Linked DNA regions of Lonchura striata. The main gene of each other region encodes a partner of the protein of the gene in region 3 in a complex. Links are inferred from orthologs where the notes say so. Each region holds a gene or a part of one and is shown on either strand. Other genes may lie near its edges.

Region 1 (7,834 bases), on a different chromosome or scaffold from region 3:
ACAGGATTTCCTGCCAGCTCATGAAAGCTATGCCCAAAAAGCATGACTGAGAAAACACACACACACAAAAAAAAAAAAAAAAAAAAAAAAAAAAAAGAGGAAAGAAAAATAACTTCTGAGTTTGCCCTGAAATTTCTGAATCAAAGTCAACAATCTTCTCTAGTAAAAAGATTTATATAGAATTAAAACAAAAATGCATACTATAAAGTTAAATATGGAAATCTCAGATTCAAAAGATACAAGCCAAGTGGGATACAGAACATTAAACAGGATTCTAGAATAGCCTTACAGTGAAGTGTGTGATGGCCACTCCTGAATTTTTAAAATTAAGAACTACACACAATGTAAACTAAAGTATCAATATCCAGGAAGGCTTTCTGACAAGTACCATGTAAAATATAAGGAAAACGTGTGAAGGTAAATAAGGTTAATTAATATCTTAAAAGTGGATATTTTTAATGATGTCTTTAAAGACCTCAAGTCTTACCTTCCCCTTTCTTTTCGAGTTTCTAACAGAAAAGCAACATTTTTTTTTTTCTCAGATCTTGTTAAAACTCGATTCTTTAGCCATGTAAAAGAGGGAAAATTTGACTGTAAGTGAAAGTCTAGAGCACCATGTCCTTTAATTCAGTGATGGGGACCTTCATTCGATTACCTCATAGCTATGGGACAAGACACGGCAAAAGCCAAATGATAAAATATTAAATTATATTTTCTTCCTCCTCAGGCAAAGAGTGAGTATAGCATTAGATTAGTTTGAAAGACTAAAAAGGAAGAAGAGGAGTCTGCAATATGCATCACAAGTGACTAATACAATTTTTAAGCCCCGTTTATTCATATAATCAGGCATAAGCACTTATGCTAACTGTGGAAACCTCGAATGTAATACATAGCCCAAATGAATTCCAGATTAGTGCATGCTTCAGTGTTTCATGTTCTCCCTTGCACATGCCTAGTGAAAGCCTGCCACTCTGCAACAGAGGAAGGAATTACTACAACAAAACCATAGGCAGACTTTGCCAGAAACTATACTTTTTTTTGAAATGAGGCAGAATAAGCTGAGTGTTTTAAGTAATGGATAGGTTTGCATCCCACTGTCTAGCAGCAGTTATTCCAATTGTGTTTCACAGCTTCATCAGAGAGGCAGAAATATGAACAAACTATAGGAGCATTCTCCATAATCTGCACTGAAACAAATGACACTCCCTTCAGTCAGAACATCTTCCACCATTATGGGAAAGGATTCATTTATCTTTCAGCTATAAACCTGAGTTAGCTACATGTTCACCATACTGACATCCCAACATTTTTTAATCTTATGATGTCAATCTTGCATCTACGTAAAAATGTGTATTTCAGTGTGTAAAAAGATCTCTTGCTGCTGACAACTCAAAGTGCATTAACTTGGGAAGCCTTGAGATTTCCACACACACCCACACACTCCTTTCAGTACAGATCTCACTGATTAGAAAACAAAATATCCACAACTTAATAGACCTTTCACACACAGTGGCATTTCTGCAGAAGCATACGTTTCCAACACTTCAACTTTTACTTTCATCACTATTAGCAAGTTATTTTCCCAAGTTATTTCCTACACACACACCATGCCCAGTGCCCCTGCTGAAACTACCACATTCACTGAAACTGAATGAGCTCCTAGTGAAACATCAGAGCTTAGCTGTAAATATGTGTAAATACTTTTATTCTGTGCTGCTTTCCTGTTAGAATACAACATGCATCAAGGTCACTGTAACAGATTGCAGTTTTCAGGCTCATAGAGAAGACACTGAGGAAATCAGTAAGAGCAAACTTAAATAAGCAGTGTTTAAAGTTCTGCCTTCTCCCAAACCTGCCCAGAATTCACATCTCTGTTTCCTGCATTTCAGTCAGGTCTATTCACAGGTTCGGGAACGCTATCACTGCTGAAAGGTGAATAGAACTCGTTCTTTGCAGTGTGACCGGTCTGTTCTGAGCTCTCCGAGTTTTTAGCTACAGATTACAGCCCCATGGGCCTCTCCCTTTGAAGTGGAGTTCCTCTGAATTAGTCCCCTGCCTGCAACCTGTCCTCCATACACTGAAATAAATTACAGTCAACTTTTCCCTTCATTGCCATGTCAAGTGTAGCAATAAATATCCACAGGCTAAAAGCAAACAAACAAGACTGGACGAACCATAACCTCACAGCAAGAGCATCTCAAGGAAGAACACCAGGCAGGGCACAAGAAAGTTAAGGGCATAAAAATCAAAACTCACTATCTGAATCCATAAGTGCGTATGTAAGGCTAACATGCTTCTTGCCTCTCTCCCACAAGAAGCACGGGTGAAAAGCAATTAAGGGGCTCCTACAATTTAGTTAGAGTTCAGCAAAGAGGAGAAAGCATTTTACATTATGAAATGCCTGGGAAAAGGCATCATCTCTTTCAGTTGCAGAAGTGGGAAGCGTTGGGACACGGAGCTTCTTTCCCGGCTATGCACCGGAGCACCGCACCAGCGGTCCGCCCGCGGCGGACTCCGGCGGAGTTGGAGCGGGGCTCCCCTGCAATCCCGGCCACCAATCCCCCCCGCACCTCAACCCCCGAGAACTGATGCTGGCGCCGCCGACCATCCGGCCTCGAAACTGGCAGCAACCGATCAGCAGCTGCAAAAAAAAAGTCACTCGAGACGAAGGAAACGCAGCGAAAAGGAAGCAAGAGCTTACTTGCCTATACAGCACCGCCGGACGACCTCCTCGCAGCTGAGAAACGCTGTGCCGCTCGTCCTCCTCCCACCGCTCCGTGCTAGTTCCAAAATAATTCCTCCGGGCGCCGGCACATCCCCGGGCTCAGCCGAGGAGCGCAGGGAGCCCGGCCGCCTCTCCCCCCCGCCCGGTGCCCATGGTGTCAGCCACAGCTCCGGCAACTCGCGCTCCTGCCCGCCGGCGCTACCTCGGGGCGGGCCGCCGGCTAACAGGGCATCGCAGCCCGGCCGCCGCCGCACCGGCTCGAACTCCGCCGCGCTGGGGGGGAGCGAGGGGCTCCCCGCGCCCTTCCCGGAGACGGAGCGGGGGCGCCGGGCGGGGGCGTGCGGGGAGCAGCGCCGCCCCTCGCGGCGGCGAGCGGCCAGGCGAGGCGCGGCCAGGCGAGGGGAGGCGAGGCGGCGCGGCGCCGCCACCGCGGCCGCAGCCAGGCGCGGCGATGCCGGCCCCGCCCGGGACCCCCGCCCGCCCCCCCGCCGCTCCCGGGGCGCTCCGTAACGCCGCCCCGCTGCCGGCGCCAGCAGATCCGGTGACGCGCAGCCCTCCCCCGGGCCGGCCCCCGTGCCGGAGAGGGGCGAGCGGGCGGCGAAGCGGGAGCCGCTTCCCACGGGCAGCGGGAGGGTGAGCTGGACCACCGGCGCGCAGGGACAGAGCGGTCCCGGGCGCGGCGGCGGAGCTGCCGAGCGCCCGGGGGAGGCGGTGTCTCCTGGGCTGCGGGAGAGCCCGCTCGCCCGGAGCCCGCGGAGCTCTCCCCGGTCCTAGGGAGCTGCGGCTGGCCGCTCACCCCGTGCCCGGCAGGAAAGTTATCGGCTCCCCCTCTTTCCTCACTCAACCTCCTCTTTAGTTCAGCTGCCTTGGCTGCCCTTTCTGCCAGCTGTGTGACAGGGTTTCGGCTGGCCGCTCGCCAGAGGGACTGTACATCGATCCCCCATGTAGGGAAGAAATTTGGTGCCGGTTCTATTACTTTGCCTGGCTGGCTTGGCGCGGCACCGGCGCTGCCTTCTCCGCGCCCCGTCTCCCAGCCTCTAACCCAGAGCACGGCTCTGCGGCGACCACCGCCACCGGCGCACAGCCAGCGCCGCTCTTCCGGGCTGCCTCGGACAAGGAGGGGGCCCAAAGGGTGCAAAAGGGGTGAGGGACAAGCTGCCCTGTGCCTCGCGAAAGCCCTGCGTGATCCTCGCTCTCCCGTTCCGCACGCTCGTGCTTCCAGCAGCGCGCACGGTGCCCGGCCGGAGATCCCCCGCAGGCATGGATGGCCCTCGCCGTCGGACAGCGCTGCAATGACACGCTCTAACGCAGCTATCAGTCACTTACACAGGCACACCCATATATATAAAACATAGATATGTATGTACATGCATGAACACACCCCCATACGCATAGGCGGCCGCCGCGGGGAAACCGCATCTCCCCGCGGATGGGGCCGCCAGAAGTCGACCTGCCACGGTGAAGGCAGGAGGAGAATGAAGGCGGCGGGGAAAAGCAGCAGGAGAGAGCCCGAGGGGAGCCGCCACCGGAGCCGCCTCTCGGCGCCGCGCTGGCCGCGGGCTCCCGCGGCGATGCCGGCAGCCGGGCTCGCCGCCCGCCGGCGCTGCGGAGAGCTGCGGGCAGGGAATCCCGCGGAGCCTCTGCGCCTCCTTGGTGTCGGGGAGAGCCCGGCCCTCGTGGGGCTTTTGCCAAACTGAGAGTGAGTGGAGCAGCAGTGGTCTCACCCGCATGCTCTGGGGCCCCTTCTAGCTCTTGGGAATGTTTCTCTCTAGTTAGGCTGAGGATGTCTGGGAGGGTGTCACAATTAAAAGTTCGCTAGAAAGGAGATTGAGCTTTGCTGTTCCGTAGCTTCTCCGATAGTCCTTTTCCCTTCAACTTCTGTAGGCTTCTTCTAATGAAAAGTGGTTTTCACGGGCATCTCACAGTTAAGGGCTTTTCTTCAACCAAGTTGGCAGAAACAAAAATGTTTCTGTTCCTTATGCACTCCTTTTATAAATATTACCTTCAATAATGTGCAGTGAGCTATTGAGGGGGGAAAAGATTTAAACAGACAGCTTAATGCAAGCTAAATGCAAAGCTAAGAGAGTTGCTCCGAAGAATAAAGCTAAATGTTGGGTTGATAAGTGCCTTAGAAAATGCATTGATAAGTTTCATGCCTAATTGAACAGATCTGTACTTCATGTACTTGTCATCTTGAGATACAGATCTTTATCTTTCCTTGTTTACTAGTATTGAATTGATACCAACAGTTCTTGATAGCTACAAACTAACCAAGCTATTTGTCCTACTGAAAGATTGAATAGTTTGAACTGATAGTTCTTCTGACAAGACTGAAAAAATAAATTATTAAAATGGTACATATATGAGGACTGGGATGATTGAAAATCATGTCTGAGAATTTAAATAAATGAAATGTAATGAACTAAAAACTTATCAAAGACAGAAGTGAAGTGGAATTCATGCCCTGCTGGGAAAGTCAACACCCAAGAAAGAAATTTATAAACAAAGTAGAAACAAAAAATATTTTATTACCTTTTAGTTGCTTTGTCTAGAGTCAGTCCCATACTCAAATTTCAACAGGGACAACGTCCTCAGTTTTCGCTATCAGAGTCACCTATTGATTATAGAATCAATACATATCCTGTTCCCCCATCTGTAGGAAGAGCTGTCATTTTTCATGGAGACCTCCCACTTCATTCTTTGTGTGATAATGTAAAGTGGATAGCTCAAGCAAGAAAGGAAATTTCATTTCACAAGAGGAAGCTGTTCTATTTTAGTGCAGTATCTTTCAAACTATTTTAAAATATATTAATATTTATTAAAAACATATTGATATTTATTAAAATACATATAGGTTGCAAGTTTCATTACCACTAAGAATATGCTGAAGATGAAGTCTACCAAACCAGGTGAAAAAAGTGTGCAGTATTTTTTATCATTATCAACCACATTGTGTGAAATAAATGTGCATTCCAGTTTTACACACAATTACATTCATGTTACATTCATGTTGTATTTTTGCTTCAGGCAGAACAAACACAAAATAAGATTTTTACGTATACAGAAATCAGATGTCAGGTAAATTTAAGATGTAGTCAACAACATGAAGCAACATTTATAGTCAGAGAGGTGAGCCAGAATTGTTTTTATGTAGTATGGAATATGTTAATTAAGAAATTTCACGTAATAAGATGATGGTAGATTGGCATCTGTTTTAGATTCTTCAGCTTCAGCAGCCTGGCACCACTCAAGTCACCAACAAGGATGGAGTGACAAAGGATGAGAAGCATTAAAAATGGAAGAAATGGAGGCTAAGCATGAAGAAAAATTGTCATTACTTAAAAAATATGAGAATGAAAGGAAGAATTTTACCCACCAAGCAAGCGAGTGACACTCTTGGTAAAACTGTATTGACTACCTATCTGCAAAAGATCATTTTTCTTCTTTTCTGTTTCATAAATGACTACAGCATCCATTTTTTTTTTCTGAATGTATAGCTCACTTTGAGTGTGGGCAGGGCTTCTGGCATTTGGCAGCCAAACCCTTATGCATGTGTCTGTCACACATAAGCCTCCCTCTGAAAATGCTGGGAAATAAAGGGCAGAGAACTCAGCTTTGAAAAAGTGCATGGGAAAAGAAACTACCAGTTGTAGTGGCCAAGTAACATGAATGTATGAGAAAGATGTTTAAATGCTTTGGGAAATAGAGAGTGGTTTTTGTCCAACATCACTGCAGCATTAGATTTTCCATTCCCGTAGCGTGTCCTACCACCTCTGGGAACACATCATGGCTGATAGGTTATTAATTGGTTCTGTGAGAATAGAATTAATCTATTTTCAATATCCACTTTTGGAAAAGAGAGCAGTCAGAGTAACAAATGTAACACCATCAAGGACAGGTGTCACACTTTATAGAAAGTGGATCACAAGGTCATCGATAAGCTCCTTGGTATTTTGTGTATCAAGGTGCACATGAAGAGCACATTCCCAATTCCTGATGATATAATTTTGGTTTTAACTTCCATTCACAGACTGATAATAATCCACACAACTATGTCAAAAAATATGTGAGTATATTCCCTCTTTTTTCCCCATTTAGTCTAAACTAAGCTTCACAAAAATACTCCATTTACGAGTATCAGGCACCCTTATATAAAATAATGTGTCATTTGTCACCATGGCTTGTAATCTGAAAATATGACTGGGGAACTGATGGAGACCAAAATAGTCTTCTACAGTCTGTAGGTGGCCAAAATATTCTGCAGCTATATTCCATAAAATTCCTTGCTGCCGTGACTTCTTTCTCAAGAACTCTTGTCAGTCCACTTAAAACTCTCACTCACATGGGCCCAAAGAGAGACATGGGGGTTTGTTCAAATTGTAACTAAATATAGTTATACATTAAAATTCCTCTTTTCTCATGTAAACAGGATAGTAGCAATTCCATAAATTCTGCGCAAATTTTTACTTTGAAATTCTGGGCTTTTAAAATCATCTAAAGGCTTGAAAAATTTAAAACCATACAGCTTGAAACCTAACAGCAGAGAATCTCAAGCGACACTGGGAAATTCATAGTCTTAATATCATTCCTTAATCCTAAATTATACATGCAGCCTGTATATCATAATCAGTACTGTTATTATTTATGGTAGTCTATAAATGGCTTGCATCTCATTAATGGGTATTTTTAACAGAGAAGATAATTTGGATAAAATTTTAACAAAGGATTGTAACTACTCTCAAGGAAATTATTAGCATTATTTGCCTTAGTAATTAATTTATTAAAATAAACTATTACAAATCAAAAGAGACAAGTAAAACATCATGGGCTATAAACAGTATGACCTAAGAAAATTATTGATTATATTTTTCTGTTTCATTCTCAACAAAAAACAATTATATTTGCTTTCTCACAATTATCCTATTTCTTCAACAAAAGGAGATAGAATTCCCCTATGTGCATTTAAAAATTAATTGTACACATTGCAAAGTTTGAAAATGTTTGGGTTTTTTTTTTACATTTGGAAGAAAAATAACTCATAAAAATATAATTTGAAAATAACTAATGTACATTCTGTAGGATTTATGAGTCTTCATAAGAAAACAAAAA
Region 2 (7,929 bases), on a different chromosome or scaffold from region 3:
AGATGTCATTTTGTGCATAAAATCATTCTAGTATGTGGAATGAGGTAAAACCAGTACCATCTGAGAGCATCTTAGCTGTGCATCTGCCACTGTTGGTGCTGCAGGCCAGGAAGGCCCAGCTGCCAGGTATTGCTGAGCTGGATGGCAGGTGCAGACTGGAGAGGCAGAAGCATAGGCTTTTTGGGGGTTGTCCTGGGTTTAGCTGAGCCTTTGCAAGGGCTCACCACTGCAAACCCCTGGATGACCCTGGTAGCAGCAGTCACATCCTGCAGAGGGCCCTTGTCCCTATGTCCCCGAAGACCTGGCAGAATGGGCAGCCAGCTGGAACACAGTGCTGGTGACAATCCTGGGTTGTCTGGCCAGTTACAGTGACACCAGGGAAGAGATGAGGGGTCAATGCCCAACAAGAACCTCAGGGGGATGAGCTGTAGCAGTGCTTCAGGCCTTATCCCCCAGCCTTTCTCTCTCAGTGCAGAGCAGCCTGGCACAAAAGGACACGTTTTTCACCAGAGGCCAAACCAATGTTTTATTCCTTGTCATTTCCACACACTCAGGAGGCTGTGCCTGGTCTGAGGTCACACTGGGCCACTCCCACTTCCCCTCTGATTGAGCCTGGACACCTTGTCAAGGCATATCCCAGGCCCAGGAGCTGACCCCAGTGCAGGAGCCTCATATGCTGTTGCTTCCAGTTCTGCTGGCTGCTAAAAGCAGGGTTGATCAATAAGTGAAAAGCCTGAGCTGTCAGATGGTTATGCTTTTAGATTGTTACGCTTTGCCTTGCAAGCCAAGGGTGTCTCAATGTACCAAGAAATAGGTGGGCTCTGCTGAGCACCTGTGATGGGACAGGAGCTGGTTTCTGATGCCATGCCTAGAGCTCACAGGAGTCACTGGGAGCTTTCCCATTCAGGCCAGTGGGCTGGGCAGCAAGTTTCCAAAACCAGCCCCTCTGCATCATCTCTTCCTTCAACCCTTGAATTTCCTTTTTTTCCTTTGCACACAAGCTTGGATCACAGCATCCCTCTGCTTCTAGCCCATGCAAATTCCTGACTTAAAACAGCAGGGAAGGAGCTTGAGGCAAGGCACTCTCTCACTGCATCCAGCCCAATGGGCACTAGCCAATAAATAGCCTTTCCTGAGCCACACAAGTGGGTTTTGTTCACAAAGCCACAACACTTTTAATAAGCTGCTTAAGTCTAGTGCAAGCTGAACTCTAAGGTGTCTGTAATCACAGCCAGTCCTTCTCCCGGAGGAGCAATGCTGCCTTGCCTCTCTCCAGCATGAGCAGAAGGGGCTCACCTGCTTCCCACCAGTTCACTCATGCTCAAAGAACTCATGGCAAGCAGCAGTGACCATTGCAATAAAGGCCACGAACTCCTGGAAGTCGCACTCTGCATCCCCATCGCAGTCCAGTGCCTCCATGACTTTGTCCACAGTCTCCTGGTCTTTGATTTCCTGAAGGGATAGAAACAGGCAGCCAAAGCTGAGGAGGACCACAGCGAGGCCCAGACAGTAATGTGTGCCCATTTCCCAAGTGCTCTCATGGCTGAATCTCTGTTCAGACACATCCCAGATATTTTGTGGATGTTCCCAGTCTATGTGGGGCGTTGTCCTGTGCCCCAGGGAATTGCAGCTACAGCTGTTGTGCTGGGAAGTGACATCTTGAACCCCTTGGGGCAAGGCTGTCCCCCGTGTCAGGGAAGGTAGTTTTCCTAGTCCAGCCCACACCTCAGTCTGTCATATAGGCTGTTCCCCTCATCTTGCTGCTCTGTAGAGCTGGGACAAAGGATTCAATGCCCTGCTGTGTAAATAAATGTCTTTGCCTGTGCAGGCTTCCCGTGGGAGACAGAGTTAGGGGAGTGCAGGGGCTGTTGGATGGCCCCTGAGCCCAGCCAGGCTGTGGGGAGGGCAGTACTTACCCCGAGGAAATGGGTCAGCTCGTTGTTGATGAGCTCCTTCAGCTCCGATTTCTTCAGCTTGTGCTTGTCTCCCTCCTTCCCGGAGTACTGGTGGAAGGCATCGATGATGGCGATCATCGCCTTCTCCAGCTCGGACATGGTCGTGGCGTGGCCCTGCGGTCAGAGGGGACGCTGGGAGCGCCAGCCTGGGCAAGCTCCAGCAATTCCGATGGATTTGGAAGCACGGCCACCCTGGGGCTCCGCCCGTGGATCAGCAAGGTCAGACCCTCGTTCAAGGGAGAGCTGGGAAGCTCTGGCAGCAGCCCTGGCTTCGGGGGGAAGGTCACAAGAGACCATAACTCTGCTGCTAGGGGCTCTCGAAAACAGCAGAGCCACAAGACAGGAGAGGAGAAGGCATGGGGTCTGCTCTGGGGCTTCAGAATGGTTTTGCTGTCCCTGCTGTCACAGGTCCCCTCGCCTTGCCTCTGCCTGCAGACCTGTCTCCAGCCCAGCAGTCAGGGGAACCCGGTAGGAACCAGTTTTGATGACTGCCAGCAGGTCAAAATGAGCACGTCACTCTCCCATATTTGATCTGAAGACCCTCTTGGGATATGATAGCAATTCAGATTGCAGCGTTCCCTGCAGATTTCACAAACGGGCAAACCAAAGAGACACTGATCAAAGAGGGAGAGCTGCCAACCCACCTTCCCAAAAGCCGGGAAAATAAAGAAGCCCTATTGCCTGGCACTCATTTCGTTCATATCCCATCGGTAAATATCTCCTGCCCTGCGACCTGGCTACTGTTTCTCCACCACACGCTTCTGAGTCTGATCCCACAGCCGATGTCCTCCCCCACTTAGCAGTTACCAGACACGGCAGCAAATACCCGAACAAAAATCCCCTTTTCATGCTCCAGCCCTGCCTGCTTGCCGTCCGCAAGGTTGAGCAGCGCTCCAGATCGGAGGTACGTGGAGCGGTGGTTCTGCCCTGCCGACACCCACCCGGCGTCCCGCGGCCCCTCTCACCTCCCCGCGGCCGGCGGGGCTGCGGCACGGCGATGCGGCGTGGCCGGGCGCCGCGGGGACCCGCCGCTTCTTATGGCCGCGGGGCAGGGGCGGGGCGCTGCGCCCGCCCCGCGGAGCCGCCCGCCCCGCGGAGCCGCCCGCCCGCCCCGCGGAGCCGCCCGCCTGCTGCAAAGCCGCCCGCTTTGTTTTCTGAAGGGGTAAGGGGCATAGTTGCAATCAGCCAATTTTTCTAAGTGACACGTATATAGGGATATATCCGGTTTCAAAATGTATTGCAGTAAGCTTTTTTTTGTTTAAAGAAGCACTTGGAGATTATCCCTAGACCCAGTTGTTACACATTACAAATAAATCTATTATGGTGCCATTTATTTGTTCATATTTTTCAAATATAGAATGCCTACTCTCTGTTCATTAGATCGGTCTTTCAATGCACAGAATGTGAATCAAGCTTGCGATTCAAAGATGTGAATGCTCTGTTCTGCTCTGAACAGTGAGTATGCAAAAATAGCAATTCTTTGTACATCTATGTTTACTACAGGTCATTGGGAGCACACTATTAATATTGAACACCCTTTTTCTGCTTTCTACTGTTTTAAGATTGTAGAGTCAGGCCAGACAGGGAAAATAAGGTTATTTCAATTCGCTCTGCTTCACCAAACATACCACCAATAAAATGCTTTGTCAAACTGAAAGCCTTGCTTCTTGTGCAAAGCCATTTATACCATGGGAGTGAAAGCATACATTTTGCAGTCAGTGTGAGCATAAAACTTATACTTTTTTGTGTGTATTGTTCAATAAATATTGAAATATTAAAGAAATAGCCACCTAACACCAGAGACAGGTGAAACTGCAAATGTTTTGAACCAATTCTGTGAAGGGATGTGTAAATCAACATGCAGAACTCAGAAAAATATGAGTTATTGTTTGTATACTGATTCACACTAGGAAAAAAAAATGTCTTTTTAGAAACTTTAAAAAGTTATCTCAAACCTAAATTCTTTATTTACTTTTAAATGGGATCTTGATATAAAACTTGTTCAGAAGTCCCCTGCCAGCCCCAGCAGCCACCATGAACTGGCATTAAATGCACTTTTATATAAACCCTGTTGCTGGACAGACATATTCCCTGGCAGTTTTCCCAAATCTACTGATCTATGACACTGACTTTGTTACTTGAAAAAAAAAAACCAACAATCAAAAAAACCCCAAAACAACAACAACAACAACCCCCCCAAAAAAAATCTCCCAAAAACATCTACATTGATAATTTCCTTACATCAGTTCATAAAAGTTTTTCTAACAGGCTCAAATTGATTTGGGGAAAAATAATTTCTCCAGCATTAAGGTTGAATTTGTTGACTAAATATTTACATGACCACTGAAATTCTTGCATTTAGGGTATTGCAAACGACAACAGTTATCTGTGCTCTGGTGGGGCTAGCAGGGACAGCAGGGATGCTTTTAGGTAGTGGTGTTTCTAGTGTGGAGGTATTTTGTCAGCAATTTTTGCACTATTTGATTTTTTCCAGGAGTACTTGCATTCCTGTAAGAGCTGGCTATAAATGGGGCTCTCTGTCAGCAGGAAAGAGACAGCATTTTTCTGTTGATAGAAATTTGATCCGGTAGATCTCTAGCTCAGTCCTCAGCCAAGAAATGCATTAAAGCAAACCTTTTCTAGTCAGAGACAAGGTCCTAGATCATCTCCTTAAACCATATTCTGATGTCATTCTGTAAAGTGACCTTTCCTTAAAATGGAACAGAAAAAGTAGCATTTGACAGATCAAAACTTGAACAATCTTAAAATTCTCTTTCCTGGTGATTCTTGCTGCCATTTCTCCCCAAATCATTCCGACTTCTATATTTTACAGGTGATGATCTGGAATTATGTCCTGATAGGGTGGGAAGGAGCAGCAGGATCAGATGTGAACACCAGAAACCTTGACCCTCTTCTACTTCTGCTAATGAGCAGCTCCAAGAGACTTTCCTGATTTTTATCTGGCCTAATATCCTTTGTAAAGGCTGTTTTCCTGGCCTGGATCATCCCTAACCCAGCCTGGGACAGTCCAGGAGGTCTGGATATGAGTATGGGGCTGTGAGTGGTGCTTTCACTGCTGCCCAAAGAGTAGCTTCTGTTATTCTAAAATTCATGTTCTGATCTTCGAATAGGCAGGTGCAACCTTGGGGCTTCTTTCCTCAGGGTCAGAGCTTCCTCGCCAGAGTTTTGGGCTGATGTGTTTAAAGAAGCAAGAGGGTTTTTCAGTGCCCAAAGCTGAGCAAAACACTTCAGCCCTCTGCCTGTCTCCTCACAATGTGGGCTCCTCATACCAGGAGAAAAGACAGCCTATTTCTTTGTCTCTCGGGTGTGTGTGGCGCCAGGCTCTGCCAGACCATGAGACAAATGCCAGTGGTCATTGAACTGGGACAAAAAAAGTAATGAAAGCAGAGGAATTTGGGTGGGAGGGTGAAGAAATTGCCTGTGCCTCTGCAGGGCTGCACTCACAGTGCCAGCACACACAGCAGCTTTGCAGGGAGCAGGTTCCCTGGCACCTACAAACACAGCAGCCAGAGGTGAGCTACCTCCTGGCAGAATCCAGATGAGGTTCAGACACAGAAAAACGTGGATGAAAACAAGGTCTAAATAACAGGAATTTGGCAATTATTAAAAATTTTTGGTGCAGGTGGGTTGTATAGAGACAGAAAAGTAAAACTAAGTTGTTCATCCTCCATCACTCCCCTTAGGCAAATATTACCATAAATTATCTTAAGATTTTGGCATCCATGGACAAGTGGATACTTTCATTAAACTCGTTTCGGGCAGAGTCATTATGACAGGTTTTTTTTTTTTTAAACCAAAAATAAACAGACTATTAAGCCTCAAATAGAACAACCATGTCAGTGAACTTCTAGTTCTCTCTGTTCATATAAACTGCTAGAGAAGCAGCACAGCTCTCCCTGCTGAGGACCAGTGGGATGATACACAAGTCAAATGTATTATCCCCATTCATTCTCCCTCCAGGAAAAGTCCAGCACTATCCAAAAAACATTTTGCTCTTACTGAACACAGCCAGGGCTGAACTGAGTGACCTAATCCTAGTTTATGAAATAAATACAATATTAATTATTTAATTATCAAATAAAATCATTGCATCCTTTGCAGATAATCCCTGATGTTATTTTGGATGTGAGTGAAGACCTGTTTGCTAGAAGAGGAGTATTTTGAATTAAGCTCATAGTGTGCATTATATACTGTAAGTATTAATGATATGTAAGTATTAATAGACAGGCATTTTTCTGTCCTGGGGTGTTGATGGGTGCAACATTTGTGAGTAGCTCTTTTGTCTCTGGGCAGTGCACAGACATGGAACGGCTTTTCTTCCAGTTTAGCGTGGGCACACGCGGGTCAGGGTGCGCTGTGCCAGGGCTGGCACTGCACCCCGACACATCTCCCCAGTCCCTCGTGGCCCACATGAGCTGGGCACCAGGCTGGGCCGGAGTTGTTTTGTTACTTCCATTAACGACGGAAACCGCACGCCTGGACTTTGGGGGTGCACGGAGGGGGATACAGTCGCTCTAGGGGCTGGCGCTGTCACCCAAAGGGACAGCTCGGCTGTCGGCGTCTGTGGAAGGGATGGCACTCCTGTGCCAGGGGCAGATGTGCGACGGAGGGGCGCAGCCCCAGCAGCTTGCCGGGGCTGTCCCGTGACGGGAGGGCCGGGAGGAGACGGGGCGGGCCGGGCGGAGATGGGGCGGGCGGGAGGAGATGGGGCGGGCCGGGAGGAGACGGGGCGGGCCGGGCCGGGAGGAGACGGGGCGGGCCGGGCGCCGCCATTGGCTGCCGCCCGTGAGGCGATGTGGGACCAGCCGGCGGCGGGGTCGGGGCGGCGATGGCGGCGGACGGCGTGTGAGTGCCGGCGGCGCGATGGAGAGCGGGGGCGGTGTGTGGGTCCCGGCGGTGGCGGCCGCGGCTCACGGTGCCCGTGTCCGGCAGGGCGGTTCGGCGGCGCGGCGGCCCTTGGCGCTCGGCGGCGGCCACGGAGCTGCCGGACTGGCGGCTGCGCTGCGAGGGCGGGCGGCAGCTCTGGCGCTACCTGGGCGATGGCGAAGGCGATGCCGGGGAGCGGCGAGCGCAGACGGCGCTGGAGCAGCACAGCCTCGGGCTGGACACGGTGCGGGGGGCCCGGGCCGGGGCGGCGGGGCCGTGCCCGGGGCGCAGCGCTGAGCTGCCCCTGTCTCCCCACAGGGCGCGACGCTGCAGCCGCTGCCGGCGGCCGGCTCGGCCCGGGAGGCGGCCCGCAACGGGATGCGGTTCTACGCAGCGCTGCAGGCCGAGGATGGGCACTGGGCGGGCGACTACGGCGGGCCGCTGTTCCTGCTGCCAGGTAGACCTGGACACCCCTCCCAGGAGTGGGTGCCCTGGGGTTCGGCTCTCTACAGTGCCGGCCTCTCTGGTCCTCCAGGTCTCCTCATCACCTGCCACACGGCCAAAATCCAGCTGCCCGAGGGGTTCCGGAAGGAGATGGTACGCTACCTGCGCTCTGTGCAGCTCCCGGACGGAGGCTGGGGCTTGTGAGTACCAAAGATGCTTCTTTGAGTGATGGTAGCTCCAAGGTGTAGAACTTGGAGCTGCTGTCAGGTCTGCCCAGGCTCAGGGAGGGGGACTCGCTACCTGTGATAGCTGTGGGTGGTTGGACTTGCTTGCGCAGCACTCCACGTACACTGTTTGTCACAGAGGCGTCCATAGCATCAAGTCTGGCTACATCTTCTCTGGGGCACTATTTCCCAAAGCATCATGTGTGACAGGATAGCACAGAGCAATGTTTGTTCCTGTATTAGTCAGGTCCCTCTTTTCCAAAGTCACCCCTAGCATCCCACTTCACCCTAACTAAGACAGCCTTGTGCAGTAGCTTATGTCTGGCTAATGGCAATAGCTGACTAATGGATGTGGTGTTTCTGTGTATGCTCCTGACAGACACGTGGAAGATAAATCAACAGTGTTTGGCACAGCCCTC
Region 3 (7,680 bases):
CCCTAAGTCCCGAGTCTGTTTGTTTGGGGTTTTTTGGGATGCTGATGAGGGACAGATAGATTTTCTTTTTCCAGGGAATCAGGTTTCTGCCATCAGTGAAGCTGTTGTGCCTTTTGTTCCGTTCCCAACAAGGAACCCATTGAGCATTCTTTGGATGTATCTCCTACCTGGCCCTGAAGCCAACTGAGTCATGGCTGTGCTCTGCACTGCCTGGAGCAGGTATAAAATACAGAAACAATTGTTATTAGGAGAGACCTGTTTCTCTCTCCCTAAATGCTGAAGGCACCTCTTTCCCCACCTCTCCAAAAGCTCATGCTTGTGTTAAGCCTTCCTACCTGATCCAATCAGTCATTAGGCCAAAATATTCCTGGCCAGGATCACTTCTCATCTTTTATAAGTATATTTTTATGGTTATTTTGGGATGTGGCTTTTCAAGGCTGGCTGTGTGCAGTGGTCTCTGTTTAGTAAGGGGACTGAGAAGTGAAATGCTGCCAGTCATATATTGATCTGAAATCAGACATAAAGTTTGGGGTCCCCCAAAGGAAAATCGGTTTCTGTGGTGTTTGGGCTTCTCGTCAGGATTTCTGAAATTTGCTTCCAAGCCTAAAATGTTTTCTTTTCTTTTTGCTGTGGAGTGATGGCATCCCAAACTCCAGGATGGGGTAATTAGGAGCAGGTATCTGTGAGTGCCTCCTGCAAAGCAGGACCAGACTTGTTCAGCTGCAGGATGTCAGCTCCAGACCGCAAACCCTGGAATGACATTTTCCTCTCCCTGGAGCTGGAATTCTGTTGAAATGTGCTTTTGTTTTCTCCTCCCCTCTCTGGAGAAAGTGGGACCTGTGTGCTCTGGAAGCAGCACAAAACCGAGGGTATCTTTTTGTATCCACTTAAAAGCCCCATCATTTGTTTACAAGTTCTTAAACCTAAAAGAACCATAAACCCTGACTGTACTTGGTGCTGTGTTTACTCAAGTTTCTCCCTCCTGGGGGACAGTGCAAACAGCCCTGGCAACTTCAGTTCTGTTTACAGTTTCTGATAGTTTTCTCTTTCATGCTTTCACTCCCTCACATAGCCCTACACTGAAATAAGCTAGAAACATAGCTGTGTGCTCATTAAAAACTAAATTTGATGGATAACTTGCTCTAAATAACTTCCCACCTGGGCTGCAGATCTGTTCTAAAAATTAAATTAGAAAAGGTGAGGAAATGCTTGTATTTTACATGGGGTTTTGAAAAAGCCTTTTTCAGGTAGGTAAAGGAATATTTTACAAAAGAAATTCTGTGTGAGGGTGGGCAGGCCCTGGCACAGGGTGCCCAGAGCAGCTGTGGCTGCCCCTGGATCCCTGGCGGTGCCCAAGGCCAGGCTGGACATTGGGCTTGGGACAGTGGAAGGTGCCCCTGCCCATGGAATTGGATGAACTTTAATGTCCCTTTCAACCCAAAAAATTCCACGATTCCGGGTGCAGTTTGAGCCACAACCTCTCGATGTTTGGAGGCAGAACTGGTCCGTGCAGCCTGCAGAGCTCTGCTGGGTGCTGAGCACAGGGAGCACGGGCAGATCCCAGGTCCTCAGCAGTTCCTCGGGAACCCAAAAGGATGGACAGCTGTGAAACAGCTCCTCTGTGTCCCAGGAACAGCCAAAGCTTAGGCCAGAACCACATGGAATTGGGCAAAGCATTATGGACCGGCCGTGCATAGATTTAATTCCAAAAACCCAAGTCGCCTCCCACTCTCCCCCCACATGCTGTGAGGAGATGTGTGGGTTTCAAACAGATGTGCTCCTCCTTCTCTTCGGGTGCCAAGGGCTGCATCCTGCGCCGGAGCCACTCGCTGGTTGGCATCCAGGAAAGGGAAGGTGACTGATCCAGGAGCCGGGCAGCGATTGTGTCCATGACAACCGGCAGACACGGCCTCGCCGCCTCGCTCGGCTCCTTCCTTCCCCAGCGCCTTCCCCGGGCACATCCCGGCTCGCGGCTCCCTCGGCTGCATCCAGCATTCCTGAGAGAAAGGTGCAAAGCCCACAAACGAGGCACATTCCCTGGAGCCAGCAGCTCGGTCGGTTCTGCAGCAGAAATCCGGGGCTGGAGCTGTGTGCTTCACCGAGAGGCTCCGGAGCTGCGGATGGGGACGGGTGGATCCACTGAGATACCGCGCGGGACAGGGGGGCTTGGCAGACTGAGAGTCTGCGGGGCCGGCAGGCAAAATGCACTTTATTCTGACAAAAAAGAAATGGTTTAGATGTGCTGGATGCCTTCAGAAATGCATCTGAGCTGAGCAAGGGAACGTGGTGCTGACCTGTGCAGGAATGTCGGCCGAGGTTGGAGGTGTTTGCTCCACAGAGCCTCAGTCTGCACAATCCCTGTTCAGGGAGCAGGAACTGCCTGGGCTGTGCTTCCTCGAGAGCTCTGCATCCCACTGCCTGCTGTGGTGCAATTCCTGCATTCCGACCACTGCCTGGACCTGCCTTGGAAAACGCTGGCATTTGAGGCAGCTGCAATCACACCCAGCGTGGAGGAACAGAAAGAAATCTGTCAGAAAAGCAAAAAGCTCTTAGAGGCAGCCAGTTTTTCTCATTTCCAGGGCCCCTGCTTTGTATCTTCAACGTGGTTTTTACCACGCTACGGAAAAATGTTCCTGGGATCAAAACAAGGTGATCCATCATCTCATCCTCCATAGTGGCAAAACAAAGCAGAAGAGGCAAAGAAATGAGATGGTGAATGGAGAGCCAGGGATTAAAAGACAGGATGTGGAGTTCAGGTTCTGCCCTGACACTGAAAACCTGACTCAGTTTCCCTGTGAGGACAACAACGAGCTTTGGATCTGATTGGTCAATATTAAAAGTACAAAGAGGGTTGCTGCAAGCTCTAATTAATTGACTGTCTTAGCAAATTAGAAGAGTCTGTAAATTGTAGCAGATATTTGGGATTCAGCCTTGCAAGGAAGGTCTTGTGCCTGTGATCTTTTTTGCATTTCCTTGGGTGTGTAAAAGCAGCAGCCCACAAAGCAGGCAGGGGATGAGATGCCCATGCATTCAGAAAAAAAGAAAGGATGCAGTGAGCCATGGGAGCACTGGGTTACTGTGGCCATGGGGAGAATCACTTGGCCAGCTTTTGGAGCAGTCAGGCAAAATTGGATCTGGTAGTGATGATACAGATCAGTCTCCATCTGCTCTGGAAGTGCTTTGGGGGTGTCCTGGTTTCAGCTGGGATAGAGTTAATTTTCTTCTTAACTGGCTTAACAAATGTTGTCAGCGTTTCTGCAAAGGAAAAATGTTACACAGCCAGCCAGCTGCAGAGGCAAAAATATCTACAACTGTATTGGAGGAGGATTTGATGGTTTTAAAACCAAACTAAACCCGCAGCATTTTGAACTTCTAGCAGCACTGACAAAGCATCCAGCTGATCCCAAGTCTCTGTTTACCACAGCAGCAGCTCTTCCCAGCCTGCAACTGTCTCAGAAAAATGCCAGGCTGTATGTTTTAATCACTGTATTTAGCCATGACAGTCACCCAAACAGCAGATTTTGCTTTTTGCACCCTGCTTCCAGGATCAAGGATGCTTTTTATAGCTGTTCTTTGACTGGAAATAAATCCTGGGGGACACCGCTACCTCATTTCTCTTACCCTGACATCCTGGACTTAGCAGCAATTTCCTGTGGCACATTTCACCTTCTGTTAATCCAGCTTGGATTCAGCATTACCTGGAGCAGGAATGGAGGGAAGGTCAGTCTGAGAACTTCTGGCTTCTCTTGGGCTCCTGGAGCTGGCGATGGAGAGGCCGGAGCGTTTCCCCCCAGCATCACTGTGGTGTCACCACAACCTTTTTTGGGGTGTTATTTACTTTTGAGATACTGTAGAGCTACCTCAGCAAAATCCTCTCCTTTAACAAAAGTAGCTGCAGAGAATAATCACAAGTCATTTGTGGTCTCCCCAAAGTCTTTCATTTGCTGTTTTGCTAAAAGGAGTGGACAGGGTAATCTGGCAGTTTTATTTAGGTGAAGCTTCATGATTTCTGTCTTTGTCAAGTCCTGAGGCAGCATGTCTGTCTCTGTGTTATGAAATATGATGGATTTCCTGCATCCCAACCTGGCAGGGGTGGAAGCAGCAGCACTTCTGTCCCCATGCTCTCCATAGGCCTTGATCTGGATATTGCCCATGAACCTTTCACTGCGGCCTTCAAGAAGAAGACTTGATTTTCTACTGTAACTTTTCAACACTTCCAAAGTTATTTATTTGTAACTTAAAAAAAGCAATTGGTTGGACAGGAGGGGACAGCCGGGGGGGTCTCTGCTCCCAGAGAACAGGGACAGGAGGAGAAGGAATGGCCTCAGGCTGCCTCGGGGGAGGTTTAGGTTGGATATTGGGAAACATTCCTTCACCAAAAGGCTGGTCAGGCATTGAAACACGCTGCCCAGGTTGAGTCACCATCCCTCGAGGGATTTAAAGCCGCGTGGCTGTGGCACTGGCAGCGCGGGTTAGCGGTGGCCTGGGGCCGGGGGCATGGCGGGACTCGATGCTTCGCCGGGAGCTTTTCCAGCCCCGGCGATCCCGCGCTCCGACCCGCCGCACGCCGGGCTGGGCTTGCCGGATGCTCCGGGCGGGGGATCCCCGCAGCCCCTCCCCGGCGGCTCCCGCCCCCCGCCCCGCCCCGGCCCGGCCCGGAGCCGGTGCGTGCCCGGCCCGGCGGCGCTCGCAGCCAGCCCGGCGCGGGCAGCCGGCGGCAGCGATGCCGCTCGCCCAGCTGGCCGAGCCCTGGCCCGACATGGAGCTGGTGCATCTGGACACGGAGGTGAGCGGGGGGGCTCCGGGGCGGGGGGCTCCGCCGAACAAAGGAGCGCCCGGCGGGACCCGCGGAGCGGCGCGGGCCGAGCCGCGCCCGCGGCGGGGCAGCGCGGCCGCGGAGCCCGGCGCTGCGGGGCTCTGCTCGGGGCACCGCGGCTCGCTGCTGCCCGTGCGGCTCTGATCGTGCCGGGAGTGCAGGCAGCGCTCCCCAGTCTGCCGGGCACACGGCAAAGCGGAGCCGGCTGAAGGCCCGGGGAATAAAAATCTCAATTTTGGGGGTTTTCTCCCTCACCCTCCCAGCGCCGTCTTCTCGCAAAGGCCTGCGCCGCCAACTCCGACCACGCTCCGGTGTCACTTTGCTGGACTCTGCTCTTCCCTCCCCTTTGGCTCTTTTCCTCCTTACTGAGACCCCCAAGCCAGATGTGCAGGATGGAGCTCATCCCCTGTCCACATCTGCAGGCTGGCACAGCCATTTCTGACGGAAGGGACAGCTTGCAGCAGTTGTCACCCATGGCAGAGCAGTTGTGCTCTGTGCTCTGGCACTCTTCAGTTAAACGTATTCTCACTCAAACTGGAACCAGCAGCTCTCCCGGAGAAACCAGAGGGAAGGTGGGGGTTTGGTCCCAGGTGTTTCACAGACCCTGGTGCTTTCCTGTCGTTCTCTCTGGATTTCATGCTGTCACACTCCGTTATCATACCTGGGGATATCTCCGTGGTTAATTGGTCAGATTTGCTCATTCCTGTTTAAAATTGCCTCTTCAGAGGTCTGTGCTTTGAGCAGCGGCAGCGCTCCCGCCCCCGCTGCAGGGAGGCACTGGCCATTGAGGTGAGGTTTCCGAATTTTCATCAGCCAGCTATGGCACAGCTTCTGCAGCCCCCGTGAGGTGGGCAGGCTCTGCCTGGGCTCAACACCTGGCACGAAGGTGGCTGAAGAGCCTCTGCTCTGGAGCACCGGCGGAGCCGTGAGGAGGAGTTTGTGCTCCAGGCTGGGAGAGGAGGGAAATCCTGCGGCGATTCCCAAATCGCGTCATGTCCCCGAGCCAGGCCGTGGGTTATTGCTGCGAGTCGGGGCTTTTTATTTGTGGTTTCTCCTTCCTAAGAAGAGAGATGCCTGAAAAGCCAGGAAACGCCACTCGGCTCATAATGGGAGGAAACGAGTGCGGGTGCCCAGGGCAGGGGAAGCCGCGGGCGAGGCTCCATTCAGTGCCTAATCCCGGTGTCCCGGTGTCCCGGTGCCGGCGGGCGCCGTGTCAGCGCCACGGGATCGCTCCGAGCGGAAACGGCCGGGGGACCGGGCGGCAGGCACCGATCTCCCCATCGCAGGAGCGGCTGCGCTGCTCGGAAGCCGAGAGCGGAGGGAGCCTCTGGCTCTCCCTGCCCCGTCTCACCTTGGCGCAGCTCCGGGGCAGGGCCGGGCGCCACGCGCGGGTGGGATTGCAGCGGATCAGGTGTTTTGCGTCTCGGGAGCTCGAGTGGCACTTAGCAATTTGCCTCTCTTTGGTTTAAAATGATGAGTACACGCTCTTAATTCCAGCGAGGAATATAATACAGGTGTTCTTCACCTCCACACCTGGTCAGACGTTAGAGAGCTGCCTGAGGTCCTGCAGCAGAGCGGGAATGGGGCTTGGGAGGAGTGTTGCACTTTGAGGCTATAATCGCCAAGGGCAGGGGCCCAAGGGGGAAGTTTTCACCCCTCCTGGGAGAGGTGGCACCACTGAGAAAGCAAGGAGACGTTTCTGGAACACTGGTTACGTAAATTGCCCTGGGATCGCTGCCATCCAGGTTAGAAACCGGCTTCCTCCGACCTTTGCTTTCTGAGTCATGGAGCAGAGGTGCTGTCACCGTGCTGCTGGAGGCATCAGTCCTTTTGTTGAGGGATTTGGGGTTTTTCCACTATGTTCCAGGAGAATTGGCCGTGTGGTGCCCCTTGTCCCGGCCCACCAGAGCTCAGCCATGCCAGGGAAACGCGTGGGAGTGGGTGGCAATGGGAGCCTGAACTGCTCCCTGACAGGAGCCAACTCCCTCTGTCCTGGACTCTGGGCTTTACAATCACTGCTCCTGCTTTTATTCCCCTTGCCATTCTCTCTTCTGCTTATATTATTCCAAATATTGGTTATTGTAGCAGAAAAACGTGGCTGGGGCAGAGTACAAAAGCTGGAGAATGGAGTTGAGTGACGCAGAAATCCTTCCCTGGGAGGGTGGGCAGCCCTGGCACAGGTGCCCAGAGCAGCTGGGGCTGCCCTGGATCCCTGGCAGTGCCCAGGGCCAGGCTGGACAGGGCCTGGAGCAGCCTGGGACAGTGGGAGGTGTCCCTGCCATGGCAGGGGGAATGAGGTGGGCTTTAAGGTCCTTTCCATCCCAAACCATCCTGTGTTTCTTTGATTCCATGACTTCATCCCCATAGTGGTGGATCTGTCATCAGGGCTCCGCTTTGCTTCAAATTCTTCTTTCATTACACAAACCTACAACAATGCAACTGACGTGGGATTACGCCAAGCTCCACCACTTCAAGCTAATTATTTTTGCCTGTATATACGTATCACCCTTTATTGAGCAGGAGCTATTAATGAATAACTCTTTTCTCAAGCATGGTAGCTCGAGTTGTGCAAACTACGATCAAGAGACAAGGGAGACAGCTGAGTGGCTGTCATCCCTGATATGCCTTGTGCAGAGCCTCCTCTGTTTGGGCACTGGAGTTCCTTTGGAGATCTCTATTCTTGTAGAATTATTTCCTTTCTCCAAACTGTAGTAGGCAAGATCCATAAATTCTACTTAATGGTAATAATTTAAACATGCCTTGTTCTTGTGTCAAACTAGCAGGAGCTCTGGGGTGAAGGGTTTCTCCCTCTGCTCCTTCCTTGAGTGCTTCATGGCTCATCAGAGTTGGGTGGAAGAGCAGCT
Region 4 (7,458 bases), on a different chromosome or scaffold from region 3:
CTGGCTTTATATCTTTGGGTTTCTGCTATAAAAAGGAACAGCCTACTTATTGCTGTTTTTCTGGTTGTGTATAGAAGTTATTAGAAAACTGGATCTTCTACATATAATATGCCCAAGTTTAAGATAATAGTCCCTATTAAAAAAAAAACCCAAAACCAAAAAAGGTCTATTTCTACATAGCAATGAACTGTACATTTATTTCTTCTTTCGTGCAGTATCAATAGTACAAGTACCTCTTACATTATCATTTCCTTCCAAGTTTCTAGCAACACAATGAAAACCACAGTAACTAATGCATACTAGATCAATGAGACCATAAAATCCATGTAAGAACATGGCACAAGCACTCTAACATTGTAAAAATTACAAAGATATATGACCCCTTGAGTATTTCCAAGGGCAAAGGGTGGAAAGGATTATATGAGAAATTAGAACAAAAAGTTCACTACAGATAGAGGAAACATGTACTGATTTTTGAAATCGGATGAGTAAGAATCTATGTCTGGTACTGAATGAAACAGGTGTTTCATTACACTGAGATTGGAAAAACATTAAAGACAAGGTCTGACTGAAAATTCATTCTATAGAACTGAACATAAACAACTGCACTTCAAGAAGTTTATAGATAATTGATACAGATACATATGGATACATACATGCAAAAAAAATAGTATTGTATTACAAATCTATAATTGTCTTTAATTTAGAAGTATGCTGAGTTACTTTCCAGGGCGTAGTATTTAACTGTTATCCTTCTGAAGAGAAAAAAAACACAAAAACAACCCACTTATCTTTTAGCAGTAATATTGTCTAGCTACTAGAATCCCAAACAATTAATTTGACTCAGCAAGCAATATTTATTAAACACTAACTACTGTTATCATATCTTATTTCTGAGAAAAATGTGCACACAGTCAATACACAGGCATTAAAATACACATTTTTCTTTTAACAAAGTAAACAGGTTTAGATTCCAATACTGCTAAATAACTTAAGAAGATGCAAGTCAAGCACTTGTCACTCCGTGAATAATAAATCAAGTTCTTTTTTTTCAATACTTTTGGAGCATAATTTTCTTCAGAAGTTCAGTACGTGGCATATCTGGGGAGCCAAGCAATTATCTGCCATAAGATGTCCCAGTTGAACTTGAGTCTAAATGGCTTTTTTACTATTTATTCATTCCTTCTTTCAATCACATACCTCTGTTAGAAATAGCCAAGAAAGTGAGACTAAATTTGTCTGTTTGTTAGAAACAGACAGCTTGCCAAAGCCTTAGATTCATAGCATTATTTCTCATTTAGGGTCAAAGTACATTGTGTAGTCACATGCCTTTGGTTCCTATTGCTCTTGTCCAAGAGGTCAGTTCACCATTGGTCCATGCCTAGTTTGGTCCCAGGCAGCAGTCCTATGAGTAACAGCAGAAATGGCATGTCCTATTGGTCTTAAACATACACATTTGACACAACTAGAAGAATACCAGTAATAAATTTCACCTAACGATAGGGATTATTCCTCACCCTTAACACTGAAATATCCTGAACTGCCATACAACCTACTCAGCTGTTAACATTTTAGATAATTGCTGCACAGATTATTTTTGCAGTTCCTGAACAGGTCTTACAAATTAAGACCTGTGAAACAATTTTAAAACACAGTAGGTTTAACTCCATTATTTCTTTTTGAACTATAGAAATTCTAAAACCTCAAAGGTTAAATTTATGCATCTCCTCACACACAGTCAAAAGATAGATGCAAATACAGGCTGTGAAAGCTTCTCAGACAAGACAACAGTTTGTTTCCACAGATTTATGTGCAACTGCCAGACATGCTTATGATTATAGGTATCCTCTACCCTTTTCTTCTACATTTGAATTTCCAAATATTACTTTCATTTTTATGATTACAGAAGCTTGAAGTAGTTACAAATCACTCTAAGGGAGAACCTGTCTCTAAGTCAGCTTTCATGCAACTGAGGTACCTTCTAAACAACACTCTGGATAAAACAGCAGGAAGATAAATACAATTTTTCTTTTAAAAATTGAAAGGTTGTGGTCACCAAAATGTTTTTTTAGCACCAGCACATATTTTATATAAATACAATGAATAAATTTTTAGCTGGTGATCGAAAACTATTGCAATGACAAAACAACTTTACATGCCAAGAAGAGTGGCGTGTTAAACCACAGAGTCTGTAATGGTTTTAAAAGGTCTGCAGGACAGACTTACTACATTTTATACAAACCAGGACAGCGGAGAACCGCCGTCAGAGGGCATCATTCATGAATGATTTGCCAAATACGCTGCCGTGAAGTAGCAAGTTTTTTTCTAACTCCCTCACGGGCTTCTCCTAAAAGTGCATGAGATGCTAAATACATCCAAGTAGCTGACCTTTGGTTTTTTGTTTTGTTTTGTTTTTAATTTATCATCTCAGGCTTGCAGCTGGGTTTCAAGCTGAGTGATGCAAGGCGGTCCCCGGGGAGCTCGACCCTCACGCTGCAGCCTGTCACGGCGCGCTGAGAATCGCGACCGGGATCAACCGGGACACGTCCCGCCCGGCCGCGCTCGGGCCCCGGTGCCTCCCGGCTGCGGAGGGAGGCGGGGTGCGGCCGTCCCGCCCGGGCAGCCGCGGCAGAGCCCCGCCGGCATCCCGAGCCCCGCCGGCATCCCGAGCCCCGCCGGCATCCCGAGCCCGCGCCGCCCCGCTCGCCGTGCCTCCCGCAGGCGCCTCCCTCCCGCTCTTCGGGCAGCGCCGCCGCGGGACCCTCCCCACCCCCGCCCCGCCGCGGGAGCTGGCACCGGGACGGGCCGAGGGAGAGCGGTACTTGCCCAGGTGGGGACGAGGAGGCTGCCGGGCCGCTCGAGCGGTGCTGGAGGAGGCTTCTTCCCCGCCACGCTCATCTCCTCCCATGCAGCTGGCGTAGTCCCCTCAGTCGGGCGGCTCGGCGGGACGCGGCGCCTCCAACACCGACTCCCAAGCGCCCGCCCCTCCCGGCAGCGCCGGCGTCCCGGCTCCGGGGGCAGGCGGTGTCCGGGGCAGGCGGGTCCGCGGACAGGCGGGCTCCGGGGGCAGGCGGGTCCGCGGGGCAGGCGGGCTCCGGGGGCAGGCGGGCTCCGGGGGCAGGCGGGTCCGCGGGGCAGGCGGGCTCCGGGGGCAGGCGGGCTCCGGGGGCAGGCGGGTCCGCGGGCAGGCGGGCTCCGGGGGCAGGCGGGCTCCGGGGACAGGCGGGCTCCGGGGGCAGGCGGGTCCGCGGGGCAGGCGGGCTCCGCGCTGCCCTCCGCCGCCCGCGGCCGGGCGGGGCGGGGTGGGACGGGGGCGTTCGCCGAGGGCTCGGAGCCGGGAGGGAAGAGGAAGGCGGCGGCGTGGCGCTGGCTATTTAACTTGGCTCTTCGCCGGGGGAAGGTGCCTCTGCTCCCGCTCCCCTCCCCTCCGCGGCCTCATCCCGACAGCCGAGCTCTGGGTGCTCCTGCGAGCGCTGCCGCGCTCCTCCCCGACACCGCGCGGCTCCGCTCGGCCCGCCCGCGCCGCCCCGCGGGGCAAAGGCGGGCGGGGGCTCCGGCCTCCCGCGTCCCCCCGGCGGGGCAGGGGCGCTGCTGCTGCCGGGGGAAGGTGGGCGACGTGGCGGGGTGAGGGCGCTGCCACTCCGAGCGCAGCCCCCTCGCCTTGTCCGCGCCCGTAGCGGGCAGCTGCGCCTCGCGTTGGATCACAAGCGACAGCCGCACATAGCCCTGCTCGCTGATCTCTGAATCAAAACCAAGAATAGCCTGTCGTCCGTCGAGTATTCTTGATACCCTCGGCATTGTGTAGCACTTGGCCAGGAAAAGCCCCCAGTCCTAAACATTGTGATGAGATTTTGCTTTCCCGTGCATCTTTAGCTTCCATCCAATTCCTGATCATGGTCCATGGCCCAGACTATTAGTTTTGGGGGAGCTTCTTGCAGTCCAGTGGTAGCAATGTTGAAGCTGATCCCAAGGCAAAGAAGTTCTTTCCGGTCCTTAACAAACTACTTTATTAGTAGATGTATATTTTGACTCTTAAGGAGAGAGAAGGGAAAGCTCTTAATTTTTTCTATCACTTGATTTAAAAATATGTGCTTCATGTGCATAACTTTGTTTTCTTACCTAAATGTAATTTGAAAAAGCATCTCTGTTCTCTTTTGACACCTCTGCCTTTGTCATACACAAAATAAAAGTATGACTGGAGTTAGCTAGACTTCTTATAAAGTTACTTTAAGAGTTGGGGCTTTTTCCCCCTGCTAAAGCGCATGAGAAAAGCAAGAAAGAAACATGCATAATCTTTCTCTTGGAGGTAAATCTATACAAAAATATTGGTTGCCACTGCTGTACTTTACCCTAGAATGAATTCCTCTCTTGCCATGTTTTCCTGGTCAAAAGATACCTGACATCATCCCTGTTGACTGTTTGATCTTCATACATACCAGAGCCCTGGAGAAGAAGGGAAGAGGTGGACAAGAGGGCAGTTATGTGGGATTATGGGATTTCATTTGTTCTCCAGTGCTGCTCAGGGCCCTCCACCTGTGCTTGAGTTGTTTTCTTTACCATGCACAGAGGTGTGGAGTTTGACATGCAGCAAGGAATCAATGCCATTCTGCTCAAGAGCTGGAGTTCATACTGAAGCCAATCTGCCCCGGTCCATCCTGTGCATAAAAAGGCATTTATCTCACTCCCTGCCTGTAGAAAAGTGCATGACAGCACACCAGAGCGTGAAATGTTGGAAGAGATGAGACTGGGCCACTGCCTTGCATGACCATTCAGACTTAGGTGCATGCAGACACTGTGAGAGGTATGAGGCTAAAGACAGCCAAAGCAAGCAAAGGTGGACTGCTCCATGGGAGTTGCCAGAGCCAGCAAATAACAGCAGCACTCCTGGCAGGTATTTGCCAGTATGGATAATAGTTTCCTGTGACTACAAACTTGTTACCTCATCCAGCATTGCTTCTCATGGATCTTCTTCATAAATATGGCATAAAAGTGAGGATTAAAAAGTGGAGATACAAGTTAGTGTAAATATAAAATAAATGGCAGGTATAGGATAATGTACATGGAATATATATGTGAAATTACTGACAGAGATAAGTAAAATAGAATGAATTTACTTTCTAGAATGTTTCTCTTTACCTACAATCTGTGATTTTTTAAACGTAAAAATCTTTGTCAGTTGATATAATGAAGCCTGGTACACAATATGTGACTACCTGAGTGGCATATCTTAACAATGACAATTACATAAATGATTTCTGGAATTCGACAGCCAAGGAACTATTATTGTTAATTTCTTTTTGGAATTAACAAATGCCCTTCAGTGAATTATTATATTTTCCTATGGTATTGCTGTACTGAATGTGAGTGGGTACATATAATTTGTGAAAGGATTAGGAAAAAATAAATATTTTTACTTGAGCTAAGCAAATTTGAGATGGCCTCATCTAATGCTTTATTTCAAGGGGTGATCAGGTTTAGTAGCTTAAGAAACCTATGAGCTTCTTTAGGAGTTGATGTTTTGTCCAGTTTGCTACTAGTTGAAAACATGTGTGCATTCTTCCCTGTCTTCTTTTTGTACTTTTTCAGTTTTACTGCATCTCTGAACCTGCAAAACTTTTTGCTTTTGCCATTTCTGAAATAAAGTAAATGGAAGCTACCTGTCACATAGCTATTTTAGTGATGAGAGTTTTTGTTTTTCTGGATTACATTAAATCCCATAATTTGAAATAAGGTAAATTTTTGAAATTATCATAAAAATCTACAAATCATCAAGAAAGTAATCATGCAAAGAGACGGCAGTTCAAAACAATGCAGAATGTTTTCAATAAGATGGCTTTAAGCCAAACTCATTATTTTGGGGTGTTACATTAGACAATTGCCAAGAAGTTTCATTCAGATCTGACTTGCCTCACAACAGGAAAATTGAAAATTGTGAAAAGGTTTGAATAAAATCAGCATGCATGAAGACAGATGCAAACTGCTGACTCTGGAAGGTATCATATTATGACCGGGTTTTATTTCTTTCTGTTTTCATAGACATGCTTTGCATTTGCACATACAAGCATACATACACACAGATGATTCCTGACTTAGAGAGTGGAAGCAGAAGACTATTGGCACTAAAACAATAAATAATTTATTTTACTAAGATGTCAAGGTTAAAGACTTCTTCTAGAAAAGTGAATGAAAGAGTATAATTTAATTTTCCAGGAAACTTAGGTATGCAGACATTAAAACATAACTCTGTCAATACAAGAACATTCACAAAGCTACTGAATTCCATTTGTTGTCTTAATACAAACTCCAAGATTTGCAGATGTCATTTTAGTTTTTAGATGTTAATATTTTCTGTATTAATCAGGAAGGAGGCCTTTTGTAAAACTTAATTGCTTTGTGAACTTCATTACATCTAATTACACCTAATATTTTACTAACAAAATAAATGCTCTGCCACTTAATTTTCTGTTGTGGGAAGATATAGGGAAGCAAAGAAAACTTTTTAAAGTATATTGGGTTAGCATGGCCAAGCTTTGGTAGGGTGACTGCAAGGTTGGTTTTCGTGAGCAGCTGCCAGAAGCTTCCTCAGTGTCCAGCAGAGCCAATGCCAGACAGCTCCAGAGGGATGTGCCCCTGGCCAAGGCTGGGCCAATTAGAACTGCTGGTAATGCCTATGAGATAACAGTTAAGAAGAAGAAAAAGAAAAGTGATTGTGCTGGTGTAATTGTGGCCAGAGCAGAGTGGGATGAGAACATGAGAGGAACTCTCAGAGGCTCTGCAGACACCAGGGTCAGTGCAGAAGGAGGGGCAGGAGATGCTCCAGGCACCAGAGCTGAGATTCCCCTGCAGCCCGTGGTGCAGCCCATGGTGAGGCAGCTGTGCCCTGCCCCTGCAGCCCGTGGGGATCCACAGGGATGCAGAGATCCTGCAGCCCATGGAGGGGCCCCACACCAGAGCAGGGGGATGCCTGGAGGAGGCTGGGACCCTGTGGGAGGCCCATGCTGGAGCAGAGTCCTGCAGACCTGTGGAGAGAGGAGAAACAATGGTAATAAAATGACTAGAACCCCCATTCCCATATCCCTGCACTGCTGTGGGGAGGAGATAGAGCTGGGAAAAAGGGATGGGTCAGGAGAAGGTGTTTTTAAGGTCTTATTTTACTTTACATTATTCTGCTTTGATTTTGTTAGTAATAAACTTAATATGTGTAATTGGCATCTGTTTTGCCTATGACAGTATTTGGTAGTGATGTCTCCCTGTCCTTATCTCAACCAATTAACTTTTTTTTTTTTAATATTATCTCTCCCCTGTTCAGCTGCAAAGGAAAATGAGAGATTGGCTTTTGATGAGTGTCTGGAATTCAGCTAGAGGCAAACAACTAGAAAAATAAGTTTTTGACTTGGAAATTGTAGGTAAGGAATTATAAAAATGCCAGATGTCCCAAGGAAACTGCTGTCTATCCTG

The links.
Region 1: the proteins of RPS6KA1 (region 3) and SNTG1 are in contact, whole or in part, in a crystal structure (PDB 7PC8), measured with the Homo sapiens proteins. The link is inferred for Lonchura striata from reciprocal best matches to the Homo sapiens genes RPS6KA1 and SNTG1. Residues at the interface, in NP_002944.2 of Homo sapiens: Arg728, Lys729, Leu730, Pro731, Thr733, Thr734, Leu735; in NP_001274742.1 of Homo sapiens: Gly67, Phe68, Gly69, Leu70, Ser71, Ile72, Lys73, Gly74, His78, Ile80, Ser85, His118, Glu119, Val122, Leu125, Arg126, Arg141.
Region 2: the proteins of RPS6KA1 (region 3) and S100B are in contact, whole or in part, in a crystal structure (PDB 5CSJ), measured with the Homo sapiens proteins. The link is inferred for Lonchura striata from reciprocal best matches to the Homo sapiens genes RPS6KA1 and S100B. Residues at the interface, in NP_002944.2 of Homo sapiens: Ala697, Met698, Ala699, Ala700, Thr701, Ser703; in NP_006263.1 of Homo sapiens: Ser42, His43, Phe44, Leu45, Glu46, Ile48, Val53, Val57, Ala84.
Region 4: the proteins of RPS6KA1 (region 3) and SNTG2 are in contact, whole or in part, in a crystal structure (PDB 7QQL), measured with the Homo sapiens proteins. The link is inferred for Lonchura striata from reciprocal best matches to the Homo sapiens genes RPS6KA1 and SNTG2. Residues at the interface, in NP_002944.2 of Homo sapiens: Pro731, Ser732, Thr733, Thr734, Leu735; in NP_061841.2 of Homo sapiens: Gly82, Gly83, Leu84, Gly85, Leu86, Ser87, Ile88, Lys89, Gly90, His94, Ser101, Lys102, Phe104, His134, Val138, Leu141, Arg142.

Annotation. Positions count from the first base shown.
Region 1 is NC_134603.1:41,399,879-41,407,712, forward strand, and holds the start of SNTG1 (gamma-1-syntrophin), read right to left. Parts: upstream 3,010-7,834; 5' UTR 2,702-3,009; intron 1-2,701. UniProt on the Homo sapiens protein: Adapter protein that binds to and probably organizes the subcellular localization of a variety of proteins. May link various receptors to the actin cytoskeleton and the dystrophin glycoprotein complex.
Region 2 is NC_134610.1:33,263,898-33,271,826, forward strand, and holds S100B (protein S100-B), read right to left. Parts: upstream 2,997-7,929; 5' UTR 2,921-2,996; intron 2,070-2,920; 5' UTR 2,055-2,069; coding exon 1,917-2,054; intron 1,453-1,916; coding exon 1,312-1,452; 3' UTR 513-1,311; downstream 1-512. Other genes in the region: LSS (lanosterol synthase), read left to right, coding at 7,221-7,299, 7,378-7,486, 7,890-7,929. UniProt on the Homo sapiens protein: Small zinc- and- and calcium-binding protein that is highly expressed in astrocytes and constitutes one of the most abundant soluble proteins in brain.
Region 3 is NC_134628.1:279,871-287,550, reverse strand, and holds the start of RPS6KA1 (ribosomal protein S6 kinase alpha-1), read left to right. Parts: upstream 1-4,676; 5' UTR 4,677-4,723; coding exon 4,724-4,786; intron 4,787-7,680. UniProt on the Homo sapiens protein: Serine/threonine-protein kinase that acts downstream of ERK (MAPK1/ERK2 and MAPK3/ERK1) signaling and mediates mitogenic and stress-induced activation of the transcription factors CREB1, ETV1/ER81 and NR4A1/NUR77, regulates translation through RPS6 and EIF4B phosphorylation, and mediates cellular proliferation, survival, and differentiation by modulating mTOR signaling and repressing pro-apoptotic function of BAD and DAPK1.
Region 4 is NC_134605.1:95,018,652-95,026,109, reverse strand, and holds the start of SNTG2 (gamma-2-syntrophin), read right to left. Parts: upstream 3,008-7,458; 5' UTR 2,899-3,007; coding exon 2,827-2,898; intron 1-2,826. UniProt on the Homo sapiens protein: Adapter protein that binds to and probably organizes the subcellular localization of a variety of proteins. May link various receptors to the actin cytoskeleton and the dystrophin glycoprotein complex.